Linked DNA regions of Canis lupus familiaris. The protein of the gene in region 5 purifies or fractionates together with the protein of the main gene of each other region. This does not show direct contact. Links are inferred from orthologs where the notes say so. Each region holds a gene or a part of one and is shown on either strand. Other genes may lie near its edges.

Evidence for each region.
Region 1: the proteins of DIS3L (region 5) and EXOSC3 purify together in Homo sapiens (affinity purification with mass spectrometry; 6 studies listed by BioGRID and IntAct, counting the BioPlex papers as one, with this or other methods). This does not show direct contact. The link is inferred for Canis lupus familiaris from reciprocal best matches to the Homo sapiens genes DIS3L and EXOSC3.
Region 2: the proteins of DIS3L (region 5) and EXOSC4 purify together in Homo sapiens (affinity purification with mass spectrometry; 5 studies listed by BioGRID and IntAct, with this or other methods). This does not show direct contact. The link is inferred for Canis lupus familiaris from reciprocal best matches to the Homo sapiens genes DIS3L and EXOSC4.
Region 3: the proteins of DIS3L (region 5) and EXOSC1 purify together in Homo sapiens (affinity purification with mass spectrometry; 4 studies listed by BioGRID and IntAct, counting the BioPlex papers as one, with this or other methods). This does not show direct contact. The link is inferred for Canis lupus familiaris from reciprocal best matches to the Homo sapiens genes DIS3L and EXOSC1.
Region 4: the proteins of DIS3L (region 5) and EXOSC6 purify together in Homo sapiens (affinity purification with mass spectrometry; 3 studies listed by BioGRID and IntAct, with this or other methods). This does not show direct contact. The link is inferred for Canis lupus familiaris from reciprocal best matches to the Homo sapiens genes DIS3L and EXOSC6.
Region 6: the proteins of DIS3L (region 5) and EXOSC2 purify together in Homo sapiens (affinity purification with mass spectrometry; 5 studies listed by BioGRID and IntAct, with this or other methods). This does not show direct contact. The link is inferred for Canis lupus familiaris from reciprocal best matches to the Homo sapiens genes DIS3L and EXOSC2.
Region 7: the proteins of DIS3L (region 5) and EXOSC9 purify together in Homo sapiens (affinity purification with mass spectrometry; 3 studies listed by BioGRID and IntAct, with this or other methods). This does not show direct contact. The link is inferred for Canis lupus familiaris from reciprocal best matches to the Homo sapiens genes DIS3L and EXOSC9.

What each region holds. Positions count from the first base shown.
Region 1 is NC_049232.1:54,409,432-54,413,482, forward strand, and holds the start of EXOSC3 (exosome complex component RRP40), read right to left. Parts: upstream 2,801-4,051; 5' UTR 2,399-2,800; coding exon 2,075-2,398; intron 1,183-2,074; coding exon 1,033-1,182; intron 1-1,032. UniProt on the Homo sapiens protein: Non-catalytic component of the RNA exosome complex which has 3'->5' exoribonuclease activity and participates in a multitude of cellular RNA processing and degradation events.
Region 2 is NC_049234.1:38,326,332-38,329,942, reverse strand, and holds EXOSC4 (exosome complex component RRP41), read right to left. Parts: upstream 2,479-3,611; 5' UTR 2,256-2,478; coding exon 2,085-2,255; intron 2,025-2,084; exon of another isoform or gene 1,837-2,024; coding exon of another isoform or gene 1,774-1,836; exon of another isoform or gene 1,395-1,773; intron 1,223-1,394; coding exon 1,016-1,222; intron 903-1,015; coding exon 543-902; 3' UTR 501-542; downstream 1-500. UniProt on the Homo sapiens protein: Non-catalytic component of the RNA exosome complex which has 3'->5' exoribonuclease activity and participates in a multitude of cellular RNA processing and degradation events.
Region 3 is NC_049249.1:10,920,242-10,924,178, forward strand, and holds the start of EXOSC1 (exosome complex component CSL4), read right to left. Parts: upstream 2,801-3,937; 5' UTR 2,774-2,800; coding exon 2,707-2,773; intron 2,600-2,706; coding exon 2,484-2,599; intron 2,437-2,483; exon of another isoform or gene 2,119-2,436; intron 375-2,118; coding exon 300-374; intron 1-299. UniProt on the Homo sapiens protein: Non-catalytic component of the RNA exosome complex which has 3'->5' exoribonuclease activity and participates in a multitude of cellular RNA processing and degradation events.
Region 4 is NC_049226.1:76,859,546-76,862,847, forward strand, and holds EXOSC6 (exosome complex component MTR3), read right to left. Parts: upstream 1,814-3,302; coding exon 995-1,813; 3' UTR 501-994; downstream 1-500. UniProt on the Homo sapiens protein: Non-catalytic component of the RNA exosome complex which has 3'->5' exoribonuclease activity and participates in a multitude of cellular RNA processing and degradation events.
Region 5 is NC_049251.1:31,034,316-31,038,514, reverse strand, and holds the start of DIS3L (DIS3-like exonuclease 1), read right to left. Parts: upstream 2,801-4,199; coding exon 2,662-2,800; intron 1,123-2,661; coding exon 969-1,122; intron 1-968. UniProt on the Homo sapiens protein: Catalytic component of the RNA exosome complex which has 3'->5' exoribonuclease activity and participates in a multitude of cellular RNA processing and degradation events.
Region 6 is NC_049230.1:53,364,602-53,368,878, forward strand, and holds the start of EXOSC2 (exosome complex component RRP4), read right to left. Parts: upstream 2,801-4,277; 5' UTR 2,765-2,800; coding exon 2,643-2,764; intron 988-2,642; coding exon 886-987; intron 1-885. UniProt on the Homo sapiens protein: Non-catalytic component of the RNA exosome complex which has 3'->5' exoribonuclease activity and participates in a multitude of cellular RNA processing and degradation events.
Region 7 is NC_049240.1:19,160,748-19,164,908, forward strand, and holds the start of EXOSC9 (exosome complex component RRP45), read right to left. Parts: upstream 2,801-4,161; 5' UTR 2,693-2,800; coding exon 2,627-2,692; intron 1,714-2,626; coding exon 1,619-1,713; intron 675-1,618; coding exon 555-674; intron 434-554; coding exon 331-433; intron 1-330. UniProt on the Homo sapiens protein: Non-catalytic component of the RNA exosome complex which has 3'->5' exoribonuclease activity and participates in a multitude of cellular RNA processing and degradation events.

The DNA.
Region 1 (4,051 bases), on a different chromosome or scaffold from region 5:
TAGCCTGGTTCTCAAAAGATGAGATGTTCCATAAGCTAAGGGGACAGAGCAATCCAGATAAAGGGAACAGCACAAGCAAAGGTACAAGAGCAGGGACTTATGAATTCAGTAGTGCTATTAAATAGTTTGAGATAGGGGGACCTGGGTGGCTCAGTGGTTGAGCATCTGCCTTTGGCTCCAGTAGTGATCCCAGGGTCCTGGGATCGAGCCCTGCTGATGCAGGTTCCCCACAAGGAGCCTGCTTCTCCCTCTGCCTAGCTCTGTGCCTCTCTCTGTATCTCTCATGAATAAATAAATAAAATCTTTAGTTAATAAATAAATAGTTTGAGATAGTTCAAGCATAGATACAATTATAGACAAGAAAGGACCTCTGGAGTATAATGCCAATGAAATCTATAGGCTTCAAAGAAACTTTTTTTTTTTCCTCTTTTGGAGAAAGGAGAGTGTGTGAGGCTGTTGGCTTTTGAGAGGGCAAGTGTAGAGGCAGGGATGTTAATGAGGAGGTCACTGACCAAGTCTGGTAAAAAAAATAGCTAAGGTCTGAACTTGCAATATGGAGACATACAGGGATGAACATGCAAAATATCAGAGACAGAATCAAAGCTGTTGGGAAATGGTGATGTGACTGAAGTTGTGAGATGCCAGTCAATCAGGATGGATAGATGGCTGATATGGCAATTTGCACCATCTACTCCTCCTTCTTCCCCAGCTTATGGTTTACTTCCTTGTCCAGTGGATATGGACATAACAAAAAACAATAGAAAGAACAAATATAACCTTTCAACTCAGTAGAGATGAAACAGCCCCCAATATAGCAAATGTAAAATAAGTATGTGACTCTGGTTAGAGCTGGAGCACTGGAAGGAACTCTTGGACCCCAAAGTGATTACACAGACGCTCAGAGATGACCCCATAGAGCTAGGAAAATAGGTCATGCTTAGGAGACAATTTAGGTAGCCTTTTGGTTATTTGAGTGTTTCTGGATATTCGTATGCTTTTCTTCTTTTTGAAACCAAAAGTTCCCATCATTACCTGCACATTTGGTCTGTTTCTTTTAGTTGCACCTTCAAATGCCAAGTAAGACAAAGAAGCTGGCTCACTCCCTCCAACATCAACTTTGAAAATATCTCCAGACTTAGCTGTCACTATGCCGATCACATGGTCTCCTTTCACGGGGACATACTACAGAAGAAAACAGAATGAAAGAACAGTCATAGATGACAATCATTTCCAAGGTATCTTGGAAGATATCTTTAATAAGTCCTTAGTGGTCATTAGAGTTATTTAAAAAATATTTTGAAATTCAAGTTTACAAATTAATACAAATCAACAACAAATGTGATGTTACTCTCAGTAAAAGAAAAAAAAAATCACACCATAAACTCTCAGGTTTACAGCTTTTAATACTCTGTTCATTTGAGCCAGTATCCCACACCTCTTATTTCCTTATCAGAACTTCCTAGAGCAGGAATCCCTGGATGGCTCAGCGGTTTGGCTCCGGCCTTCCGCCCAGGGCCTGATCCTGGAGTCCTGGGATCGACTCCCACATCCGGCTCCCTGCATGGAGCCTGCTTCTTCATCTGCCTGTGTCTCTGCCTCTCATGAATAAATAAGTAAAATCTTAAAAAACAAAACAAAAAAACTTCCTAGAGCTTCTGCTGGCATATGAAGTCCAATGGTACAGGGGACGGGGTCCTTACAACCAAGAAAGGCTATTTCATTGCTAGACAAACTTTCCCATATTAAAGTTCTTACCTACTCTAAGAGAAATTTAACTCCCTGTTACATCCTCTTATTGAGCCTGGTTCTGGTGCTCCCTGACCTTTGAGACTCTGTAGGCAATGACCCTGTCTCACAATCCCTATCCTCTTAGACGCCAAGATTTCCAGTCTCCTTTGTCTCCTTCTCGGGCCACGCTCCATTTGCTCACAGTCCCTCTGAGGGGAATGCAGCGGTGCGCACAAGATTACGGTGGCTCTGGACCAGCATTCGCAGAGAAGAGGTCCAGGGCCCCATGCAGAGCGAGAATATCCCCCTCACGGCCGTACCACCTCTCCGGAGTCCCCCAACTCACCCGTTTCTGCTGTGAGTCCACCCAGTAAACGCCACCGCCGCTGCCGCCGCCGGGCTCCTTGTGACGGAGGCGGCCGCACTTGGTGACCAGCAGGCGGTCGCCACAGCGCCGCAGGCCCGGGCCGCACACGACGCGCCCCCGGGAGCGCGTCCCCGCATTCAGGCGCAGCGGTCGCTCCCCAGGACCCCCTGGGCCTTCAGCGTCCTCCTGCTCCGGCAGCAGCAGCTCCTCACCCGGGAGCACCACCTGATCCAGCACGGTGCGCGCCGCACGCGCCCGGTCTCCCGGCAGAGACTCGGCCGCAGCACCCACCGCCTCAGCCATACCGCGAACCTCCACACGCAACCTTCAGCTTCCGCTTCCGGCCCCGCGTCCAATCGCCAGCCTGCCCGAGGCGTTCCGTTTCCGGTAGTAGCGGACTATAGGAACCGAACCATCTGCGTCCCTGAAACCTGAGAGCTGTGGGCGGGGGTCCTGCCAAGGTGGCTGCGGTAATATCTCCCGCCCGTCACCTTTCTTGCGGTCTTTCTGCGGATCAGTACGAGAAACACGCGGCTTAAGTCGATGGCAAATACCTCACTTCCGCTGTTTCGGGCTGCACCGCTGGATACAAGACGCTCCCAAGTGTGGTTCCGTGGGAACCTCGACGACCGAGCCGAGGGGCTTCGGGATTGATCCTTTCCTTCCAAGACTCAGCCCTCTGAAGGAAAAGCATTTTCCTTTTTCTAAATAAAACCTGTTTTTATGGTTGCTAGAGAAGATATCAATTCACACTGTGGAAAACAGAGACTAGAAAGAAAATAAGAGGTATTAGTCTTGCCCCCATTTGTCTCCTGCTAGGCCGCCAGATAATTCTGTGTCGCCCAGTCTCTGTCACCTAAATAGATAGGACCTGATGAATCAGTGCATATTGGCATTTTAGTGTGTATTTCTCCGCAGACCTTTTCCCCCTGAAAATATACACATACGCATGTGAATTTTCACATAATTCACCTACCCCTACATGGCCTGGGGAAATCAGTAACTGCAATCAGATTCTTGTAGCTACATTCCTTGAGACACACTAGTTGACCAGGTGAGCAGTTGGATTCCAAATCCATAGAATATCAGGACTGCTCTTACTTGAAATCCAGGTTCCTCTGTACACCAGGATTTCCACTTTGCGGTTGGTCAAATTCCCCAGCAGGGTTGAGAGCTCCGGGGGACTGGGAGGGTTTGGCTTTGCCTTTCCCTTTGAGGCACTGGCTTCCAACGTGAATTTTTAGTTTTGGGGGACGTTTAAGACAGATCACCTCTAACTTACCTTCCATATTTGGCAAAGTGCTGGCAAGCTGACTGCGTAAGCGTATTAAGAGGCCAACTGAAACGTAACTTTTCTTGTTTTGCAGTCAGAGTGTTGTAGAAGCCTATCTTGATTGGTTTATCCTGGCAGGAGGGATGGTGCAGATTTTTTTCCCTCCTCCCACTCCAACCCAGCACTAGAGGACCTGCAACCAGTAGGTATTCGATGACCAAGGCCGCCTAGATGGTGGCTGGCCCAAGGCCATGCCCAAAGGGAGCTCAATGGCCTCTGGTCTGGGCTGGACAGAGAGGTTGGGAGTGGTCCCAGGATTGGTCCCTCCCGCACCCCATGCTGATCGAGAAGTCTTTGGAAAAAATACTTGGCCCAAACCTGGCTAAAGAGGCCTTCAAAGTCCACCACCCGATAGGGGTGGCACGTGGGTACCTCCTGACTGGTTCTCTAGTCAAGAGACGAAACCCCCCCCCCCCAAAAAAGAGACGAAACCCCAAGCTCCAGGGGTGGGCAGTCTCCTAAAAATCCGCAGCTGGGGTCGGAAGTGGCCGGCTGTGGCTCTGGGGGCGTGGGTTCCTCCTGACACGCCCCCCGGGGCGGGTCCAGGGGCGGGGCGCGCGGGAAGGTCGCCTTTGGTGTCTCTCCCCCTCCCCCACCCCCACCCCGCCAGCCGCGTGCGGCCC
Region 2 (3,611 bases), on a different chromosome or scaffold from region 5:
CCTGGGGTATGTGGACTAGAAAGTGGGGAATCCTATTCAGATCAGGAGGTGCCCGGGTGAGGGCTCAGGCAGCGCCGCAGATATGTGTGAAGACTCCCCACCCCTCCGCACCACCCCAGGGGAGAACATTTGTTGTGCTTTCCGAGCCTAAGGCTAGGGAGGCCCAAAGGGCTCCCAGGGTGGAGGGGGCCATGCAGTCCAAGCCATAGTCCAGAGGATGTGGGCTGTGGATGTGCTGGTCTGAGAACTGCCTTCGTCTCACAGCTTGGCTCGTTATGCCAGGCCCTGCCTCACTGCTCAGCTGCCTGAACCTTTCCTAGCACGATGGCTGTTCATCCGCAGACAGGCTCCCCGACCTTCCTCTTCAGGGTTTGGGTCTTGAAGCTGGAAAAGGTATGTCATGTGCGGGGGATGGGGACGGTTCCTAGTCACCTCCCAGAGCAAGCACCAGGCCAGGATCTGAGGGTGTGCAAGTGCTGTGGGGAAATTAAAGTATAGCAGATTGTATGTGAGTTTTATTCTGGGCATGGGGGGCCAGATGCTCAGTCCCCCAGCAAAATAGAGGCCTCGCGTACATGCTGCCGAACCACACGGTCCAGCACAGTGTGCACATCACGGGCAGCCCGGGCAGCCGCCTCTAGCACCTGTTCCAGGTGGTCCTCATGTAGCCGAGCATCCATTTCAAGCAGTGCAATCTGGCCTGAGGCCGGCAGCAAGGCCAGGGCCAGCTGGGGGCCACCAGCTGCCTCTTCCACATGGCTGAGGTCCGCCAGGGCTGTGTTGTCCACAAAGCCAGCTGAGCAGGCACACACAAAGTCCCGCATGGGTATTCCCGCATCCAGCACTGCCAGCGTGGCTGCATTCACACAAGCTGCGTAGGTCCCACCATCTGCCTGCAGCACCTGCAAGTACCGCCCAGTGGCATCGGTCCATTAGGCTCTTGTCCCCCGACTCCCATCCTTGCTTCCCCTTCCTTCCCCCTCCCTTCCTGGGTTGATGGCTGCTGCTTGCTCACCTGCACATATATATCTATCTGGGAACGTGGGTGCAGCTGTGTTAGGATGGCTGCCTCAAATGTCTGACGTAGGTGCAGGCCCATCTCGCAAGACTTTCGGTCCCCATGCGGTCGTCGCTTGCGTTCGCCTGTGCTGAAGGTCGCAGAGCTATACTGACAGTTCACCAGGGCCCTGTCTGGCAGGGCTCGAGCCCGGGAGCCCCGGATCTGGGGGAGGAAGGACACATGAGTCAGGCTCACCCCTCCACAGCTGACACTACGCCTTCCCGTCACCCTCCCTCTACTTCCGGCATCTCCATAAGCAAGCAGGAGGACCTCCATCGGAGGGCCAGTTGGCCAGTCTCCAAGTCATCATGTCTGATATTACTTCTCTTAACAGGCCTCCTTGTTTCCATCCCTGCCTCGTCCCCTGCTAACCCATTCTCCATCCGTGGCCAGAGCAGGTGTGTTCACAAATATCCAGGCTCGGGATGCCAGGGTGGCTCAGCAGTTGAGCGTGTCTGCCTTTGGCTCAGGGTGTGACCCCGAGGTCCTGCAGGGAGCCTGCTTCTCCCTCTGCCTGTGTTTCTGCTTCTCTCTATCATGAGTAAATAAATAAAAGCTTAAAAAAAAATATCCCGGTTGATGTCATCTCCTATACACTTTCGCTGCGTCAATGTCCTGACGCCTCCTAAAGCTTCCCCATCACCCGTGAAATCCTAAGTCGTGTCCCTGGCCTACAGCGCGGCGGGTTCCTGCCTCCCTAGAGCCCCCCAAACCTCGTTCCGAGTTGCTCCCCATCTCCGCCGCTGCGAACGCGCCCCGCTACGTGCCCCAGCCATCCTCCCCGCTCCGGCGTGGACGCCAGGCAGTAGCAGCAGGTGGGTTTAGCTACAGTCCCTCCGCTCATGGAGTTGACGCTCCGCTCCCGAGAAGTCGAACGCGGAGCCCACGGGCTTCGGAAAGGCAGGGGAGGGGCTCCCCAGGAGAGGAAGGCGGTCGGGAAGGCGTCCCCGGGAGGACGAGGTCAGGTACCCCCAGCGCCGGGGAACCCAAGCCCCGCCCGCCCCGCCCGCGCGCGCCCACTCGCCTCGTGCGGCCCGTAGACCACCGCCAGCGCCTTGGTGTTGCCTTGCTCGATGTAGGCCGAGCCGTCGGCCTGCGCGAACACGCCCATCCGCGCCTGGATCTTGCGCAGCTCCCCGGCGCGCCGTCCGTCCACCCGGTAGCCCTGGTCCGACAGGAGCTCCAGGCCCGCCATGTCTCCGGCGGCTGGCCGCGCTTGCGACTCCCGCGAAACTACACTTCCCGACGGCTCCGACCCCACTTCCGGCTTTCTGGGGGCCTACGGCTTCCGGCGGTCCGACACCCACTTCCGGCCCGGGGAACTACGGTTTCCCCGGGGGCAGGCGGCGCCCGCGGCCGTTTGGGGAGCTGTCCCACGGCTGCCAGAGGCGGAGACCGGATGCGGGGAGACTCGCCGGCCGCGCCCCCTCGGGCTTGTCGCAGGGCGGTTCTGACGCCCCCGGGCCTCCCGGGGTCACGCCGCACGCGCCTGCGCCGGGTCTCGGGGGGGGGGGGGGGGGCGGGCTCCGGCCTGCGTCCCGCCCCGCCCCCTGCCCCTCCCCCGCCTGCGCTGCCCGCGCCCCCTGACGCCCTACTCAGCGCCCCGCGCGCCCCCCATCCCTCCCCCCGCACCCTCTAGTGCTCCCGTCTGCTCTTCTCCGCTCACGCTAACCGCAGACGGATCGGGAGCACACGCGGTTGTACAGCCGCGTGGCATTGGGAACTCCGGTTATTTTAATGAGAGCATTTTATACACTTTAATGGTTTTCACTCAAAAAAGACCTTGAGAAATCTGCCCCAATAACCCTGGGGAACGCCCACTAGTTTCCGGTTGGCCGCTCGGCGCCCGCGGAGTGGACGCGCCCAGATGCTCCCCCGCTGCTGCCCGGGTGCGGGGGCGAGGGCGCGCGGGGCCGGGCTAGAACCCCGCGGGATTCCGAGGAGTGGCCGTCGCGGGCGTCCTACCCCGTCCTGACTCGTGTTCCGACACCTCCTGGCGGCCCAGCGCCGTGGAACCGCCCCCGACCAAACCCCCCCCCCCGCCCGCCTCCCCGTCCCCGTCCCCGTCCTCGTCCCGGTCCCCGTCGTCCCCCTACCCCCACTCGGTCCCCGTCCTCGTTCCGGTCCACGTCCCCCGCCCCTCCGTCCCCGTCCCTGTCGCTCCCCTCCCCCCGACCCGTCCCCGTCCCCGTCCCCCCCCACCCCGTCTACGTCCTGTCCCCGTCCCCATCCCAGTCTCCATCCCCTTCCCCGTCCCGGTCCGCCCGGACAGGATGCTCATGCCCCGCACCAGCTGCCTTATTTGGCCGCTCTGCTGAGCCCGGGCTTCAAGGGCGAATGTGGGAAGCGGAGCCAAAGGGCTGAGCGTCGGGGAGGTGCCGCCCGGGGCCTGGGGATGTGCACAGGCTGTGTGCCCCCCCTTTCCCGCCAGCTCCCACTGTGCAATAAAACGGGTGAATCGGGATCCCTGGGTGGCGCAGCGGTTTGGCGCCTGCCTTTGGCTCAGGGCGCGATCCTGGAGACCCGGGATCGAATCCCACGTCGGGCTCCC
Region 3 (3,937 bases), on a different chromosome or scaffold from region 5:
TACGCATGCTTGAACTTGGCTGCCTTGATCACTATCCCAGAACTTTCTAGGCCGGCACAGTCCAGTAACACTGTGATGATTAAAATGTTCTGTGCTGGCCAACAAGGCAGCTGTCAACTATACGTGAGCACTTGGAATGTAGCTAGTGAGATGGAGGAAATGAACTTTCAATTTTAATTCATTTCAATTAAATGGCCACATATGGCTAGTGACTGCCACATAAGACAGAGCACTTCCACAATGATCATGATTTCACCATTGAACAGGTGTCCTAAGAAGGGAGGTTAAGACCTACTTACCTTACAGGTTACAATAGTCCCCACATCTGGTAGCAATTGAGATTCTGTTTCTCTCATCACAGAAATCACAGGAAGCTATAGACAGAACAATAAAATGTGAGATCCTGACTAAGCCTTCCATAAAGGTATCTGGCTTAAGAATAATGTAGGAATGCTTTGGTCCACAGCTGAGATCACAAGCACAGATGGACTACAGACTCATATGTGCCCAGGGCAGACAGTCTTAGAAATTTAAGGCAAATAGGAAGGTCAAGGGGCCATTTTTCAAAAGAAAGATGCTACCAGAAGACATAATCTAATCATTTCAGAACAGTTCTAACAAGTTTTCTTTTTGTGGTTTTCTTGGAATTTCTTGGTATATAATCAATTGTGGATAACTTGACTCTTCTCTTCAAAGTTCTACTACTTCCTTCTGATTTTCACTCTATTGTACTGGCTAGAATTTCCAAATAAATGTTATATAATAATGGCCATACTTTATTTTTTTCTATTTTAAGGGAATACTTGTAGCTTTCCCTTTGAGCATGGTATTGGCTATTGGTATAAAATATGTATTTTTTAAAGATTTATTTCAGAGAGAGAGAGAAAGCATGCGCAAGTGGGGAGAGGGAGGGAGAGAATCTCAAGCAGATTCCCCACTGAGGGGGGGAGGGGGCACTGACACCGGACTTAATCCCAGGACCCTGAGATCATGACCGGAGCTGATATCCGGAATCGGACGCTCAACCAACTGAGCCACCCAGGCACCCCAAGACATATTTTGAACCTCATCTTTTACTTGCCTCTTCCTTGTTTCCTATGCTTCAGTTTTCGGACCTTCATTCAGTTTCACTAACGCACTAAACATGTTCCCATCTCAGGATTTGTGTTCAACCTGTTCTTTCTCCCAGGACTGTGCTCTCCACTCAACTCTTTTTTTTTTTTTTTTTTCCCCACTCAACTCTTCTTTATCCTTTAGATTCAGGTTAAACATCACTTCTGTTGACTACAATGGGTTTGTCCTTTACATGTTCTCATGGTAACCTGTAATATTCTTTCAAAAACAGTCATGACTTTTGTAGCCATAAACCAATTTGAACCTTTACTTGTTTGTAATTTATGTCTGTGTCCCTTGGTAGCAGGGATCATGTGTATTTGGCTCATTACCATATCTTTAGAGGTAAAGATTGTGCCTGGCACATGAAAATGCTCAATAGATATCTATTTCTATGAAACGAACAAACTTAGAACTGTTACAGTCTTAAAATTGATTAAAAAGTCTTTCATTTTACATCTGAGCAAAAACTAAAACCAGAGAGATCAAGTTTCTAACCTAAAGCAGAAACAAGGTCTAGTTAGCCAGTACCTAAATGTTCTAATTCTGAATTCTCTATTAATGCTCCCTGTCTTTAAGGGGGTCCTTCAAAGACTGTTTATCCGATCCTGGGCTAATCCTGGATCAGTGTTAAGCATTCAACAAACATTTATTGAGCATAGGCTGCTGTGCTCAGCACTAAAGGTATGGTGGCAAGGTTTGTTTTCGTGGAACTTAGAGTCTAATAAGGGAAGAGTCTAGGAGGAACAGGTAACCGAATGCTTAATTTTATGCAAAGAAGAGCACACAGAGGAAAGAAATTTAGTTCTTTGTGAGAGTTTAACAAAACGAAAAATAAAAGCTCACAAAACTCCTTTCCCTGACTAGTGGGTCTAGGAGGGCTACTCTGATAAAAGTGACACTAGAGAGGCCATCTGAAAAGTAGGTGGGAATTAAAGAGGCTAAGGAGGAGATGGGCGCGTGACAAACAGCGTGTTCATCGTTCTGTGGCAGAAGAGAGCTTACCCCACCAGCGACAAAGAAGCCTGTGTGACTAGACTGCAGAGTGGGGTGGGAATAGCGGAGCAAGATGAAACCAGAAAGGGAGGCGACATCCGGACAAGATTCAGCTCACTGCAGGCGGAACCCGCCTCTGCTCGTCCCCTAACTTCCTTCCCCGAATGTCAGCAACAGAATCAAGCGGGACCACATCTGGCCTGTGGTGGCGAGGTGCCCAGCAGTGGAGACCTCAGCTGGAAGAAACTCGGAGACCAGCTGTTCTGCTGAGGTCCTAAAGACGCGTCCGCAGTGCCCTTTCCTATCGACCGCGAAATCAAAAGCAGCCTAAAAGAAAAGCAGAGAAGGAGGAAATGGGAAGCAGCCCCCTTTACCGCGCCATTCTCGCTGCTCTTCGTCAGGCAGCCAGCAAGCGACGAAAAGATGTAGCCGTGGCGAGTATAAGTGCCGCTGCCCGGGCTGCCCTCCTCCAAGTTACACAGACGTTCGCCTGAAGAGAAACGCTGCATCAGTCATGGGTCTTCAGAGGGTGTCGGTCATGCAGCCTTCCTGCCTCCCTGTCCCATCCAGAATTCGCTTCGGTCCCCGCACACTTACCCGGGATGCAGTACCTCACGGGCGGCGCCATGACTGCCACTGGAGGGAAACGAAGTCGGCTTCTCATTGGCCAAAGTTCAGGAGCAGTTCTGCAGTAAGAAACGCGCCAATTGGTGCGAATTATCACGTGGTCTTCGGGAGCACCTCCTCCGTCAAACTTTATTTCCCAGGTTGCTCCGGGACCAGGGCGGGGGCGGGGCTCCGGGACGCCTGCGCTTGCGCCTGTGGTCCAGGATGGGCTGGCAGCGGGTCCCAGTCTGCAGGCTGGTTCTTCGGGTGGCCGGCGATGGTTGGTTGGACTGAGACCGGCCCGGCCGGGTTGCAGAGCTGGCGGGGGTGGCAGTGAGCGGCGGCGGAGGCTGCGGGGTTCCATTTGGCTGACTGGGGAGTCGGCAGGCGGCAGGTAAGAGCGGAGCCGCGGCCTTTGCTCCCCAGTCCTGCCCTTTTTTGTAGGGTCGGGGCCTGTTTGGGGCCTTTTCGTGAGCTCAGGTTCCTGTTCTCTCGTTGTCGCGCCCTGCACGGCCGTGCCCTGCACAAGCCTGGGGGAGTGCACTCTCGGGGCAGCTGTAACGCTTGGAGCTGGAAGGAGGTTAGCCAACCCAACTTGCCCATTGTAGAGATTTGGAAACTCAGATCCAGAGACAGGATTTGACTTGTCCAGTGGCTCAAAGACAGTTCAAGGTAGAGCCCAAACCGGAACCCAAGGTTTTTTTTTTTTTTTTTTTTTTTTTTTACTTCTTCTATCGCACTTTGACCACACCACCCCATTCAGAAATAAAGCCTTTTCCGGATTTTTGTGACTGCAGCTTCAGGTCTTGCAGTCGGATCCTCTCAAGCGGAGCTCAGGTCGTGTGGGCCCATTCATAACTTTTTCTTTTTCGAGCATGTTAGTCCGGAAGGGAAGTCTGCACGTGAGTAGAATGCTGCTCTTACCGATGAGTGACAGCTACTGCTTAAGATAGGCAGACATCCCGAGAACAGCATCTTTGTCCATATGAGATTTGCTACGACTTTCATCTTAGTTTCTCTTGCCCTCTGGTGACTTTGGCATATGTCCCCTCCTGTGCAAACCCTCCAGCCCTCACCAATCGTTTCCCCTAGGAAAACAGATGGTGACTTAGAGCCTTGGAAAGAGGGGAGTGCTGTGGCCTTCAATCCCATCTAATCTGGTGGCATATGTCACTATGGCCTGTGGTTGCTACTGAGGGATCAGTGCTAAAGGCTTGCGCTT
Region 4 (3,302 bases), on a different chromosome or scaffold from region 5:
ATGATCTCAGGATCATGAGATCAAGCCCAGCATCAGGCTCTGCGCTCAACATGGAGTCTGTGTGGAATTTTCTCTCTTCTTCCCCACTGTCAACCCCCTTGCATGCCTCTAAATTAAAAAAAAAAAAAAAAAAAAGGCAGCCTGGACCCCTACTTCTTAGCAGCAGTGGGGGAGGCCTCTAGCTTCCACCCAGAGCCAAACCCCTTCCACCTACCCAAACCTGAGCTGTGGTCTTGCCCAGCACCAAACCAGAGGCCACAGAGTACACCCAGAGTGCTCCTGGGCCCACACAACCTTCCCTACTGTTGTCACCTTGGCAATGGCCAACTCTGCTACTCTAGGGGCACCTTCACCTCCTTCAAAGCACATTTCCCCACACCAACTCCTGCACCTCCTTTAGTTTCAGCCAGTCTTTTCTGCTTATGTTGGTCTAAGGAACAGGACACATTTAAGACAATGCTGTCCCCAACCCCTTGACACCAGGAGTCGACTACAGGGCACAAAAGAACCTTGTTCTTTTAAATTCACTACCGAGATGAACCACGATAGACTTTTCCAGATATAAAGGAGTTTGTTTTAGCTCAGATGTAAATGAGAAGGCACAGCCCCCTTGTCCATTCTCTCAAAAGCAGCCCAAGTCTATAGAAGGGAGTCACTAGCTGGCCTGCACAGGGTCCATCCCTTACAACAGTTCCAAGTCCCGTCCTCCAGATGAGTCCAGCTGAAGTCCTTCCCAACCTGGGAGGCAAGCTGCATTCGCAAGTTTCTTCACCTGGGTCGTAGCTGGGAAGCACCTGCTCAAGTAGAAACGTTTCTTTAACAGAAGTCTCTCAAGAGCCGTCCCAACACAGCCGTCCGGCGCTGTGCACGCCCCGTCGGATCCTCTCCCGCCCGGAGTTCTCCGCGCCGCGCAGTCTGGCAGCGGACGGCAAGGGTCCTTCGGGGGACGGGGGCAGCTCGGTCCTCGGCGTCCGTGGTCGCTCGGGCTCCCGGCTCAGGACGGCGCGGCGGCGCCCCTCCGACGGGCCGCCCGCACCAGGCACTGCTGCAGCACGGGGTAGAGGCGCTGGCAGCCCTCCAGGCCCAGACGCACCGCCTCGGCCCAGCTCTCGGGCGGGCCGCCCTCCCCGCTGCCCAGCAGCCCGGCCACCTGGTTGAGCACCGGCATGAGCGCCACGGTGAGGCCGGCGGCGGCGCGCTCCTCCTCGAGGCGCGTGGGGTCCAGCAGCCAGGTGGGCGCGGGTTCCGGCGTGCGGCTCAGGCCGCAGCCCACCACCAGGTCGTACATCTCGACCCCCGCGTCGGCCAGGGCGAGCGCGGCGGCCGTGAGCGCGGCGGCCAGCGCCGAGCCGCCGTCCTCGAGCAGCAGCGCCGACACCTCGAGCTGCGCGCGCGGGTAGCGGCCCAGGCGCACCGCCGGCTCGAGCGCCTCCTGCAGGGCCAGCGCCAGCTCGCGCTCCTCCCCGCCGCCCGGGGGCGCGCGGCGCCGGCGGCCGGCGAAGGGCGCGCGGCGGAAGTCGCAGAGCAGGCGGCCGCGCAGCGCGGCCGGGGCCTCGCCGCCCGCTCCGGCCGGGCCGCCGCCGCGCTCGCTGCCCTCAGCCTGGCGCGGGCCGGACACGGCGCACAGCACCTTGGTGCCGCCCGCCTCCAGGTAGGCCGAGCCCTTGGCTTGGCTCAGGAGCCCGGCGCGCGCGTACACGGGCCGCAGCCGCGTCGGGTCGCGGGCCGCGGGCGCCTCGTCCTCGTCGGCCGCGTACAGCTGCGGCGGCTGCGACTCCTCGGGCCCGCGGATTCGGCGGTGGTCCCCGGGCATGGCGGCGCCTGGCGTGCGAGCCGCTTCCGCCCGTCCCCTCGGCCCCGGCGCCGGCGCTTCCGCCCGCTTAAAGCCGCGCGCCCGCGCGAGGGCTGTCGGGATAGCGGCGGCCGGCGCCGCCCCGCCCCCTGCCGTCCCGGAGGAACCACAGCCGAGCCGCGGGGCCGCCGCGGGGCCGCCGGGAGGTCCCTGGCCGAGGGGGTGGGCCGACGGGGGGACCGGGCCGGCCTGCCTGAACGCTAGCCTCTCGGGCCAGCGCAACCCCAGGGCGCACATCTGCGTCCTTTCACTTGTAAAGGTTGAAATTATTTTGCACTTACACGTGTGACCATCTCCTACGTGTTCCCGTCTTGCCCAAGACATGGTCATTCCTCAGTGCCCTGGCAGGAGTAACGCTTGTTGAATGGAACATTCTCTCTCCTGCACTGGATTGTGTACACTCCGTACCCCTAGGAGTCCTCACCTGGCACGTCTTGCTGAACCATGTCCCCCTGCTGCTTCTCACTCCCGGCGAGGACGGGCCCTCACCCCCAGGCTGGTGACCAGAGCAGGTAGCCTCTGCTGCTGCTCGCCTCCTTCCTTGTCAGCGGGACTAGTTAACCTGGGCCCCACTGCCAACTGTTGTACCCAGGGAACACGAAATCAGCCAGAGCTAGCACAAACAAGCAGAACCTTTAACCTCCCCAGCGAACAGTTTCCAAACCCAGCTGTCTTCAGACTTGAGTGAAGGGATTCGGGACCAGGGCAGGTCCCGATCGATCCTATCCATCTTTGGGTCAGGGAACCAGCAATGATGGGTCAAAGGGAAAGGGGTAGTCACCTAATGCACCCTAAGAACACCTCTGATCTCACACCTGACTGCTCAACATCAAAAAGGAGAGGAAGAGGGACACAGGCCTAAGAATGGGAGAGCTTCTCCTATAAAGTGCTTCCAGTAACCCCATGGCCCATCTTCTATTGAATGACTAATGACTCTCTCCATCTCACCCACTCAACTCCCCATCCTATGGGCCACCTTCACCAATGTCTTCAGGTAATCCAGAGGCCATTCCCAAAGTTCAGGAGTTGAGCTGGACTCGATGAGGACCACAACCAGAAGCCAGTTGGGGCCATAGGCTATTACACAGGGGGCTCCTATGAGAGGTGGGGGGTTAAGAGATCACATAGCATCATTGAGTATTGCACATAGTCCTTTTATTCTCTGCAGCAGAGAGGCCTAAAAGAACTCTTATCTACAGACACGAGCATTGTCATGATAAATAGCAATCCTGGGGTAGTGGTTTTAGACATGGTGCTGGTATGTAGGGAGGGCTCAGGGCAGAAATGTAACGTGAGCAATGAGTCACAGGCTAGCTCCCAGGTGCGTGAGTTCCAGTTACTGCTGGGTTAGGACAGACAGGGCTGTTTAAAGGTCCCAAGATCCAAATGTCCTCATGGCAGGTGGAGAGCTGGCTGGACGGATGCATTGGGTAAGTGAAGGATGCTTCCC
Region 5 (4,199 bases):
CAACAAATTGATTTTAGTAGCAGAAATTGAAATACGACACCTGGAACAGCATTCAAACCCGAATGTGAATAAACATCTATATCTTTGTGTCTCAGCAAAATCAACTTCAAACTCATTTAAAAATATTCTATCTGAAAAATCTGCAATCTAGTTAATGTACATTTTTTTGAACTGAGCATGTAAGGACAACTCATCATTTTCACACACAAATAAACATACTTCATCTTTTACCACCAAAGTCTGAAGAAACCACATTTAAAAAAGAGTAAACACACAGTTTCTTCTCTTTAAATAACTAGGGGTGTTAAGAGGTTGGATGTATAATTCCAATATGCTGTTTCCATGCAGTCTTCATGTTCGAATCATAAATCCTTTACCAATGTTAAATGAGGCAAAGCCATTTTTTAGATATTTGTCTAAAAGGTGAACAATTGTTCTTCATTTAGGTATAAGGCAATCATTTTAGAGTGATTTTAATCAGAAGTCCTTTGTTTAGCAAATACAATGAGTATGGTTGGTAGTTATACTAGTAATGTAAAAATAAAGCAAGTTATTTCTGCTTTCCTTAAATAAATAAATCACTACAAGTACAATTTACACCCATAATAAACAGTTTAAAATTTAAAAATAAAATAGTCCCCCCCCACACACACACAAAAGGGTAGGCTTTTGAAACAATACATCTAAAAAATAAATGCAAACCCAAAGCCAAGAATCTTAAATACCCATATACCAGGGACACTGCAGTTTATTGATCTATAGTCAGATCTCTCGGCCAGGTGTTGAAGCAGAAATATAAAATAATGTCACTGCATTCCTCACCAGCGAAGAGAATACCAAATTAGCTCAAAAAGTCCTTTCTGACAAAATAACGAATTCCTCCCCATTCCCGCCAACAAGGGACCTTTTTCTAAAGGGGAAAAGAAAAATATGCTGTATAGAAATAAAAAATAATGCAAAATGGATACCTGCGACCTCTTTGATGCTGCACGGTTTGACAAGCCGTCTGCATGAAAATAATTCCCTTCAACTCTGGGAACTCAAGGATCTCCAGGTAATCTTGAACAACTTTCCAATCTGGGATCATGTAATGAGTCACGTCACTAGACAAGAGTTTCCCATCTAAAACATAATTCAAAAGGTAAGCGATTAGACAACATTTGCAAACTTGGCTTATTCCTATTTGAGCATCAAGGTGCTGCACTCTACAAAAATAACTCCCAGTCTCAACTACACCTTAAAGTTTTTTTTTTTTTTTTTCACCTTGAAGTTTTTAAAGGACAGGACACGTCTGCTTTGGGAGAGGTCCAAAGTTCAGGTAAACCCAGCAGCTTCATTTTTCTGAAGCTACGCAAAGGAAAAGCTCAGCGTGGTTTATGGTGTTGCCAGTGGTGCAGAAGACGAAATTTTTAAAAAGCAAACATCTTCAGCACACCTTAAATATGTATTTGTTAAGGGACTGACATACACTCACATTCAAATGGCGGGGGGAGGTCCCCCGAAATATATATGTTAACCACTTGTTTCTGCCGAGCAATTTCAAGTGGGTTCTTAATCAAGCCCGTGTACATGCTCTGAAGTCTCCAGGGGCCAGAAAGCCGGCATCGACTAGAAAGGATGCTCAGGGATCCCTGGGTGGCGCAGCGGTTTGGCGCCTGCCTTTGGCCCAGGGCATGATCCTGGAGACCGGGGATCGAATCCCACATCAGGCTCCCGGTGCATGGAGCCTGCTTCTCCCTCTGCCTATGTCTCTGCCTTCTCTCTCTCTCTCTCTCTGTGTGACTATCATAAATAAATAAAAAAAATAAAAATTAAAAAAAAAAAAAAAGAAAGGATGCTCAGTGCACGCAAGGGCAGGGGTTAGGCTTTCCGCGCGGCCTGCATCTCCGGGAGCGGGGTGAGCCAAGCTGCAAACTGAGGATTCCAAATACTCTCCGAGAAGGACCCCCCTCTTTGATCCCCCAAACACATACACATACACACGGCCCTGCTCCTCCCCCACCAGGGAGGGGAGAGATCTTCCCAGCTAACCCGGGGCCACCCTTGCAGCTGAGCAACCAAGCCGGGGGGCGGGGAAGGTTAGCGCACAGCGGCTCCAAATCCAACGTCCCCAAGGCCTTCCTGTGCAACCATCCAGGCCCAGACAGTCGACACATTTTAGGGCAGCCGGCTGTCCCCCAGTCTGAGGCATGCGGGCTGGCTGCGCGGCTCAGCCATTTGGCACCACCTTTGTCCCAGGGCGTGACCCTGGAGACCCGGGATCGAGTCCCGTGTCGGGCTCCCTGCGTGGTGGGGCCTGCTTCTCCCTCTGCCTGTGTCTCTCATTAATAAATAAATAAATAGAATCTTTAACACTGGTGGGGAGTTGGAAGTGTCGAAGGAGCAGCAGCACGGTGCCTCGCCCCGCCTCTCACCGCCCGGCACCCCCCATTTCATCAGTGCGCCGTCCCGGGGGGCATCAGGGGCAGGCCCTGCACCCACGTCCCCCCCCCATCACCCCCCTCGCCCCCGGAAAGCCTCGATCGCCAGGCCCCTGGGCCGTGGGGGCGCCGCGCTCTCGGGCCCTGCGCCTGATGGGGGCGGGGTGCGGAGCCCGGGAGCAGCGGCCTGGCCCCGCGCCCCGCGCCCCGCGCCCCGCCCGCGCCCCGGCCCGGCCCCGACCGTTGCGGCAGGCGGCGGGCTGCGGGCAGAGCGGGCTGTGGCAGGGCACGCTGGGCCGCAGGTAGTGCTCCCGCACGATGCGCAGCGTCCGGCCCTGGAAGGTCCTCAGGAGCAGCACCTTCTCCCGCTTCTGCAGCATGCCGCCGGCGCTGGCGGGACTCGGCCCGGCCCGGAGGCCGCCCGGGGAGCTGCCGGGAGGAGGCGGGCGCCGCGCGGGCGGAAGCGAGGCCGCGGCTCCGGGCCCGCCCCTCGGCCCGCCTGGTCTACGCGGGCTCCCGGGCGGCGCTGCAGCCGCAGGAGCGCCGCGAGGGGCCCCGGAGCTGCAGCCTGGCCCCGCCTCAGTTTCCCGCCTGCCCACCGTTGCCCCCCGGAGGGGGGGGGGGCGGTTAGGGAGAGGAGGAAGCTGACCCCAAAATAAAACGCCCCGGGGAGACCACATATGTAGATTGCGTGGAAGCAATCTGCAAGGTTGGGTGCAACCCTGAAGGATTCTTGGACATTTATTTCCACCCCCCCCCCCACCCCCAGGTCCTTATGGGCATAGGGGCTGCAGGGTGGGGAATTAATTAGTTAGTGTCCTCTGTTCCTCGCTCTTGCTTTCTTAAAAGAGCTAAAAGATTCCGATGAAGAAGCCAGAAACGCTGCCAGACCAGCATTTTTATCCCCACCCCCCCCGCTCAAAAAAGTATTTATTTTTAATTCCATGTATTTTTAATCCAAGTAAAAATTCAAACAATGCAGATAAAATGAAAACCAATCCCATTTCCTTGAGGTCAACACTATCTGTTCAGTCCCAACGTTGATGGCCTCTGGCCTCGGCAGCCTGTGGCAAAGGAGTTTTGCTTTTTTTTTTTTTTTTTTTTTAGATTTTATTTATTTATTCATGAGAGACAGAGAGGCAGAGACACAGGCAGAGGGAGAAGCAGGCTCCATGCAGGGAGCCTGATGTGGGACTCGATTCCAGGTCTCCAGGATCACACCCTGAGCCACCCAGGGATCCCCAGGAGTTTTGCTTTCAGGCTGGGAGACCCAGGCCCAGTTTCTTCAGGGATCACACACTCCTCGCTGGCTAGAAGGCGCTGCTCTTCCAAGCACTCACAGAGACCTTTGAGCTGTACCAGGGGCATTACATACAAGTGTCACATTTGATTTCCACAAGTCAGTGGAGTCAGGCTTATTATCCCCATTTTACAGGCGATGAAACAGGATTAGAGAAGGTTAAGTGGCCAAGGTTATCCAGTTATTAAGTGGTAGAGTCAATATTCGAGCCAGAATCTGGCTGAATCCAAAGCAGGCTCTTAACTAATGACTGTGTTATTCACAGATGAGTAAAATAGAGCTCCTGCATCGAAGGACTTTATGATGCTGAGCTCTGGTTAAGGCACCTCAACCAGCTGGCTGGGGCTATCAGAGCTTCCTAGTGTTAAAAAAAAAAAAAATTCAAGTAAATCTAAAGATCAAATTGGCTTTATTTAAGGATTTATGGATCGCCCAGCATCCTATCTAGCAAACAAAAAAGGAGCTCTGAGGAGCTGTGC
Region 6 (4,277 bases), on a different chromosome or scaffold from region 5:
AAATAAAAGGCATCCAAACTGGGAAAGGAAGAAGTAAAACTATGTCTATTCACACACATGGTCCAATATATGGAAAATCCCAAAGAATACTAAACCCAACACACTTACATGATTTAAAAAAAAAAGGGGGGGGGGGGCAAAACAAAAAAACTCAGAACACAAAATGTATGCAGAATCCGCCATTACTACCCACTTCTACTGCTACCTTAGTCCAAGCCACCATCACTTCAGATGATAAAAACAGTCCATTAATCGTCTCTCTAAGCATGTGTTCCCCCTCAATCTCTCCTAGCAGCCAGAGTGAATTTATTAAGACAGAAATTCAGACCATGTCCCTCTTCTGTTCCACCCTCCCAGTGGCATCCCAGACTACATAAAGTGGAAGTCAAAATGCCTATCTGTGGAAAAAAAAAAAAAAAGAAAGAAAATGCCTATCTGTGCTACAAGGCAGGCTGTCTGCCCACCTCGGCTCTCTACCTGCATCTTCTCCTGCATTCCCCCACCCTTGCTCACAAGGTTCCAAAACCACCGGTTTCCTTTCTGGAGCTAACCTTTATTGAGCCCTTCTAGGTAGTAGGCCCTGAGCTAAGTACTTTACATGTCTTATTTCAATGAATTCTAGTGAAAATCCTACAAGGTAGATCATGCTATTACCCTCAATTTGCAGAGGAGGTAACCAAGGTTTGGAGAGGTCAAGTAATGTGGGGATCCTTGGAAGCCCACACTTAACTACAGTCACCTATACCCTTTCTATATAGTCATGTTCAAAATCACAGACCTGCTAAATGATAAAGCAGGTGGGGGTAAGGGGTATTTTGTGGCAGAAAAGACCTGGCTGGTAACCTGAATGGCGCAAGAAAGAGAATACACACCTTTTGTTCTCACCTGGTTTTCAAAGCTTTCACACATATCAACTTGTTTACCCTCTCCACTGAGCCAGCCACAGATGCAATGAGCTTCTCTTCCCCCATGTAAGTTCCATGGCCCCTGTTTTGAGAGTAGGATACAAAATATACGATGGTAAGAGTTGACCTCTCCCCCCAAGAATAATATATTCTTTTTTTTTTTTTTTAAGATTTTATTTATTTATTCATGAGAGACAATGAGAGGCAGAGACACAGGCAGAGGGAGGAGCAGGCTCCCCATGGGGAGCCCAATGTGGCACTCGATCCCAGGACCCGGGACCATGACCTAAGCCAAAGGCAGATGCTCAACTGCTGAGCCACCCAGGCGTCCCCAAGAACAATATGTTCTTAACAGGCTCCTCCTGCCTTTAAAGCCCGGTTTGTCTCTCTGCCCAGAACACTCCTTCTTTAAAGAGCTGCACAGACATCTCCCTTGTCCTACTCAAGTCTACTGAAATGTCACTTTCTCTATCTGGCCTATCTGACTTTTTTAAGTCATTTACAATAGTTACCCACCCCACTGCCACCACCTCCACAATATTTCCAACCACATTCCACCTACCCTGCTCAACTTTCCATTTTCCCCACTGAATTTATCACCAAACATACTAACTTGTTTGTCCTGCTTACTGTTTATCTGTTTCGAAATATAAATAACATGAGAGAGTTCTACTTTGGTCACAGTCCTGCTCCAACTGCACATAAGACAAACATATACTTCATTCATGAATGAAGGACACTTAAGATTCCTTAGGATCCAATAACCTCAAACTAAAAGGTTCAAGAGCAATGTTGTAAATGCTGTAACACCCCTCCCCCCACCCAAAGGCTGAAATACCACTAGTGTTTACCTATAATGGTGAGTTCTGCTTCTTTGTTTTTTTTTTTTTTTTTGCTTCTTTGTTTTTAAGAGAAAGAAAAAGGAGGGGCAGAGATGGAGAGAGAATCTCAAGCGTGGGGGGGGGGGGGACGGGGAGGGGGCGCAGAGGCTCCATCTCAGGACGCTGAGATCACACCTGAGCCAAAATCAAGAGTCAGACACTTAACCGACTGAGACGCTTCTTTTCTTAAATTATTTCCTCATGTAATCCTCACTTTCTTATCAAATAGTCACTGTTATTATCACAGTGATAATACATTATGAGGAAACTGACCTCGGAGAGGAAATACAACTTAGCTTATAAATATGTGACGGTACAGGGCTGGAACCCCAATTGTCTGGCTCAAGAGCCTGCACTCTCAACTACACATATTGTACTGCCTTCAGGTTCAACGTGTAGATTTGGGTGCATGTAGCACAATATATTGTGTATGCCCTACGCCCAAACAATTACTGCTTTCAAAACCGAGCACCTGGCTAACAGATGCCGAGAGAAGAGGCCGGGTCAGGAATGCCCACTGGTCCCTCTTCCTAACACTGGAAAGAGGCCCCTGCTCCTAACCTTCCCCAGTTCTGCAGATTTCCCACGAAGAAGGCGATCGGGGCCTCAAGCAGAGAACCCAGGAGTCCCTGACACCAGTGGTCGGGACAGAAGGGTTACCAAGGACTGAGGCAAACGGAGACGGAGACACACAAGGTGCGCAGAGTAAGAAGCCCGAGGCCTTGCAAACATGGGGGCGGGAATGCTCAACTGTGCCCTGCGTCCGGCGGGTGCTCAGATGTAAGGGAACAGAGGCCACGTGCAGAGAGCCCAGCAGCTGCCCTTTGGGGCCGCGAGTCCCCAAGTCCTCACGTACCGCATGAATCCCGTGTCCGTGGTGATCGTGTCCCCCGGAACCACCAGATGTTTCTTGGTATCGCGGCCCACGCTCTCGCTAAGAGGCTTGCGAGCAACGGGAAGCCTCATCTCCATCGCCATCTTGGCGCCAAAGAATGGCGCAGGCGCAGTTCGGCCTGGAATCGCGACATCCGGCTCCGCAATTCCCGGCCGTCGCACGGGTCTCAGAGCGGCCGCCAATGGGAACGCACAGTTCGGTGGCCATGTTTACTCTTGGCAACCATTAGGTTAACACGAAGGGAATGAGGGAGCCAAGTTGCCATTTTTACTATTGGCAAGGCTCCACCTACAGATCCATGAAATATCAGGTTTCGGAGCGTTCGATTTTTTTTCACCAAAAATCTCTCCGTAATCATCATCCTATTCATTGTTTACCAGGGTTAGAGGTAATTGAGAAATGGGCCTGTGAGTTACCTTCCAACTCTAAGTTGCTAAAATGTGATTCTTCGGTATGAGAGAGCTCGGGAGACTGGGGATGGCATCTACAGAAAACACTCATTGGGAAAAAAAAAAAAAAAAGAGGTCCTTTTCATACTGTTCCTCGTAGCCCCAATATACTGCATTACTGCCTCCTCGTGGGTGCTCCTTCAGCACCAACCATCCACCTCTACCCCCAAACAGTACTCCAGATGCTGGTTCTGTTCTTAATAACTTCTTTTGAATGAGCTGATTTACTCTGACTTAAAAAGAAACCCGCCCAAGAAAATATACAAAGCTTGCAAGGCGGGTGTATTTTATAGGGTGAATACGTGGCTTTATCTCCGTGTCCTGTTCAATAGGAGCATTTGCCTCCTCCCTTCTCCCTGCCTCCCACTACCCTATCCCTTCTCCTTGTCCTACATGGTTCATAGCATCCACAACAAACTGCGTTTCGACCTCAGGGAATTGGAGCTGATGATTCTTTATGCACAAAGACCCTTAAGAGGATTAAATAACTTGCATCAGCCACACACACTATGCTCAGTAAATCAGGTCCACTGCCTCCTGAAGATCCATCAGACCAGTTGCTTGATTAGTCTCCAAATAGAGAACATTTCTTTATTTTTTTAAAGATTTTATTTCTTTATTCATGACAGATACAGAGAAAGAGAGAGAGAGGCAGAGACAGAGGCAGAGGGAGAAGCAGGCTCCATTCAGGGAGCCTGATGTGGGACTCGATCCCAGGTCTCCAGGATCACGCCCTGGGCTGAAGGCGGCACCAAACCGCTGAGCTACCTGGGCTACCCCAACATTTCTTTCTAAGCAAAGCTCCCAACTATGCCTGTCAATCCTGCAAGGCAGTAAACGATATAAATTCTGGAGCCCCATGGGGCATGCACATACCAGACGCTTGCCTGGAGGAAGAGAGCTACAGAAGGGTGAGAAGATCCATCTGTTGAGTCTGGCCTCCGCCATAAGAGGGCAGTAGTGTCCTGTGAGCCAAGGTAACCCAGCCCGCTAGGGAGCTAGGCCTGGGAGTGTCCCTAGACTAAGAGTAGGGTACTCTTGACATCATCCACTTTCATCCCAAGAGAGATGGACATAACCTCAGCCCCTCCCATCCTCACAGCACCCACATTTAGGGGGCCTGTCACAGCATTGGGATTATGAATAC
Region 7 (4,161 bases), on a different chromosome or scaffold from region 5:
GTTCTTCAGTTCTTTCATTCGTAAAAAAGGAACACATTAACTGCTTCTATCAACCCAAAGAACATAAGAAAATAGAATATATGAAAAACCACAAGTTCTTTAAATAACACATTTTTATACACATCTAGATTGATACTTTCACTGAGGTTTATTGTCTCTTCAGAGAGAGATGACATAAAATTCTATGGGTAGCACTCAGGAACATTTTAAGTGAAGTGAATCAGTATAAAACTAAGTTAACAGAAGCTCTGAGAATAAAAGTACAGATACAGGAATCCATGAATCAACAATACTCAGCCTAAGATTAAGAATTTTGGGCATATTCCCCACCTTTTCACCAGCAACAACACAGAGAGATTCAGTGTCTATACACTTCGAATTTCTTAGACATCTTTCCAAGAGTCGATTCAACTTCACCAAGAGATCTGACTGCCTATGAAAATAGGAATGGGCTAATGTCATGAAATATAACACCAGGCATTAAAACAATAGCTCACTGCTGTTAGGTTCTCCTCTGGCTAAAGCAGCTTTTAAAAAAAAAAAGGTTTAAATACCTGCCAGGTTCAAAAGCTGGAGCAGCCATCTGAGAGAGTTCAAGGTTAAAAAAAAGAATACCTTCTGTTGCCCTATTGAGTTTTGGAGAAACAAGTTCACAGGAAACCTGTCCAAGAACTCTGTAAAGATAAAGCACAAATCTGTTAACTAAATATATCTCCTTTCCAATTAAAAATTAACCTAAAACAGATACCAATTAAGTTTTGATCTTACTCTGAGTAATCACACACTCAGTATGATGTACTATTAGAGGCTGAAATCACAAATAGAGTTTAGAATATATACAGAAATAAAACACATATTGGTGTACTCAAAAAGATGGTACGAAAAAACAACTCTTGGGATCCCTGGGTGGCGCAGCGGTTTGGCGCCTACCTTTGGCCCAGGGTGTGATCCTGGAGACCCGGGATCGAATCCCACGGCAGGCTCCCTGCATGGAGCCTGCTTCTCCCTCTGCCTGTGTCTCTGCCTCTCTCTTTGTGTGACTATCATGAATAAATAAATAAAATCTTAAAAAAAAAAAAACTCTTCCTATAATACTATTCCATAGATTTTATTTTTAAAAATCAATGATCTTTGCTTTTGTAAAACAACTATTTATCAACACAAGATGGCATGAAAACTTGAGATTTCTTAAGAGTTTTCATATGGCATGGCTAGCTAACGTTACCTGAACAATATTTTTACAGCTTCCAAATGAATATTAAAAACCTAATTCTCATGTCAGGAAAATGAGAAAAGTAGGACCATTTAATGGGAAGTACAGGAAACAAATTCAGGGCAATTACTGCTGGCTTGAAGAGATCAGAAAACTACGTGATACTCATGGGATGAAAAATACATTTTATGATACTCATGGAACAAAAAATACGTTTATGGTTAAAAATCTTAAATGTGAACTATAAATCCGCAAAACTCTCGCATTTAAGAAAATATACTTATTTTGGCAGCAAAACAAAGAAGTCTGTGCACACTTCTTAGCTGCTTTGTAAACAACTGATTCAGTAAGGTTCTTTTAAAATTCTCCCTGTTGGGCTTTCATCTAATTCGAATCCTTTATTACCTTGTCTTCCCAAGCTCCACAATACAGCACCCATAATCTGTTCCAAATGAGATCTTTATGTTCCTATAATCATAGGTTTGTCTGCCATCCAGCCGCTGTAAGCAGAACATTCATTCATTTATTCCTTCAACAAGTATTTATTGAGCAGCTACTCTATGCCGGAGCTAAACATGGGGCGGGGGGGCGCGGCGGCGATTCCTAACCACTCCCCCATCCCATCGGAAAGTGGAATCTCGGTCCCTGAGCACTAATAGTTGCTGGTGTGATTCCAGCCTTGAACCCAACCGGAGCCAAGAAAAAAAAAAAAAAAAAAAAAACTTGAGGGATTGGGGCATTTCCCCTCAGGGGCTCTCCCCCCACCTCGTACCTGTCCCCCCTCCCCCCCGGCCTGCGAAGGCCAGCTCCGTTGGACCCTCTCACCCCTCCGCCCCCCCCTCTCCCCCCCTCCCCCCTCCCCCCCATCTCCCCCCCTCCCCCCCATCTCCCCCCCTCCCCCCCCTCGCTTGCGAAGGCCATCTCCGTTGGACCCCTCACCCCTCCGCCCCCGGACCCCCCTCGCCCTCCCGCCCCCCCTAACCTCCCCCCCGGCCTGCGAAGACCAGCTCCGTTGGACCCCCCACCCCTCCGCCCCCCCCGACCCCCCCTCGCCCTCCCGCCCCCCCTAACCTCCCCGCCCCGGCCTGCGAAGGCCAGCTCCGTTGGACCCCCCACCCCTCCGCCCCCCCCGACCTCCCCCCCGGCCTGCGAAGGCCAGCTCCGTTGGACCCCCCCTCACCCATCCCGTAACCTTCCTACCACCCACCCCCGGGCCTGCGAAGGCCAGCTCCGTTGGACCCTTCACCCCTCCGCCCCCCCGGACCCCCCTCGGCCACCCCGTAACCTCTCTACCCCCCGCCCCGCCCACCCCCGCGCTTGCGACTGCCAGCTCGGTTGGTCCAAGCCGGAAGGCTGCCGGCGGCCGCGCGACCAGACCGCCCTCGCACCGCGAAGCTCTCCGGGGCCATTTACCTTCTTCTCCTCGATGGCGCGGAGTAGGAAACGGCGCTCACAATTTGAAAGTGGTGTCTCCTTCATGCTGCAGGCACACGGAACACACCAGCACCGGAATCCGCTGGGAGAAGTGATCTGGATCCCCCTTCACGCGCGCCCCGCGGGCTCCGACGCGCAGGAAACCTACGTCATCAAAGCTCGGCGGCTGAGGAGGGGCGAGGCGGGGGCCGCCCCAGTGCGCAAGCGCGGAGGCCCGCGGGCGCTCGCGTGCAGAGCAGAGTGGGAGAGGCGAGCGCGCTGGCGGAGAGGCAGGTGTAACTATCAGGCATAGAAGTCGATATCCGCATGGGGCTTTCACATTCCACCGTTTCATCAGTTCTAACGGGGTAGCTAGACAGGTATTGTTACTCACAGAGATGAAGAACTTGGGATTCAGCCGCTAGGAAGCTGCAGAGGCCAAGTCTGTAAACGTTTTCAGAGGAGAAACCCCGGAGCGAACGCGCGAAGGGGGGGGGGAGGAGGAGAAACTGGGGTGAGGGGGGTATTAACTGCGGGCTCAAGGTGAAATCTCGTAGACTTGAGGAGTTGACAAGAATTGGGAATATTAACCACTTTGTAACTAACAGCGTTATAATCCCCGCTAGCCTTGACTAAGTGTGTGTGTGTGTGTGTTTTCAGTCTCCGCAGTTATTTCAAGCTGATAAACTTAATTTCATGGGCATAGAGGAACCGGATGCTCGCGCCGACCACCTGGCATTTTTTTTTTTTTTTTTTTTTTTTTTTTTTTTGGAGAGGCGGTACCGAGAAATAGTTAAAAGCAGGAACTCCAGACGATCCAGATTGAAATTCTGCCTCTGCCCTTGACTAACAGGTCTGCGACCTTGGCCGAGTTAGTGTATGGGCTTCACATTATTCATCTGCAAAGTAGGAGTGATACGCCTATTTATTATGAGGGATGAAAACGAGTTAACACATGTAAAATGCTTAGAACAGTGTCTGGAACGAGTAAGTCCTATGCAAGTGTTTGCATATTATGTGGTTGACATTTGCTTCAGAGGTAATAGGCACTACGATTCCTTTTCAGGTTCCAGTCCACTACTTTTGTTTCATCTTACAAGATTTTTCCCCTAAGGGTGATGACATTGTAGTCTCAGTTTGTAGCACTTGCAATCCACATACTCAATAAATTCTTTTTTTTTTTTTTTTTTTTTGGTGGGGGGATGCGCTTCTATGTCCCAAGAATAATTCAAATGCTGGAGAACAGTGGTGGACAAAATCCTGTTTCCTCGAGGAACTTCTATTCTCTTTTTAGAAGAGACAAACAATAAAAACTTTAAAAAAAAAAAAACAAGTTCAGATATTGAATGCCATCTGAGAATGGGGTGGCTATTTTAATAGGGGTAGTTGCAGGAAGAAGTTTTGTAGAGGTGGCATTTGAGTTAAGGGAATTGTCAGTGATGACAAGGAGCAGCCATGATATCAACCTGGAGGAAAGGATAAGTGTTTCAATCAGGAGGACCATCGAGAGTCAAAAAAAATGAGATAGGATGAGT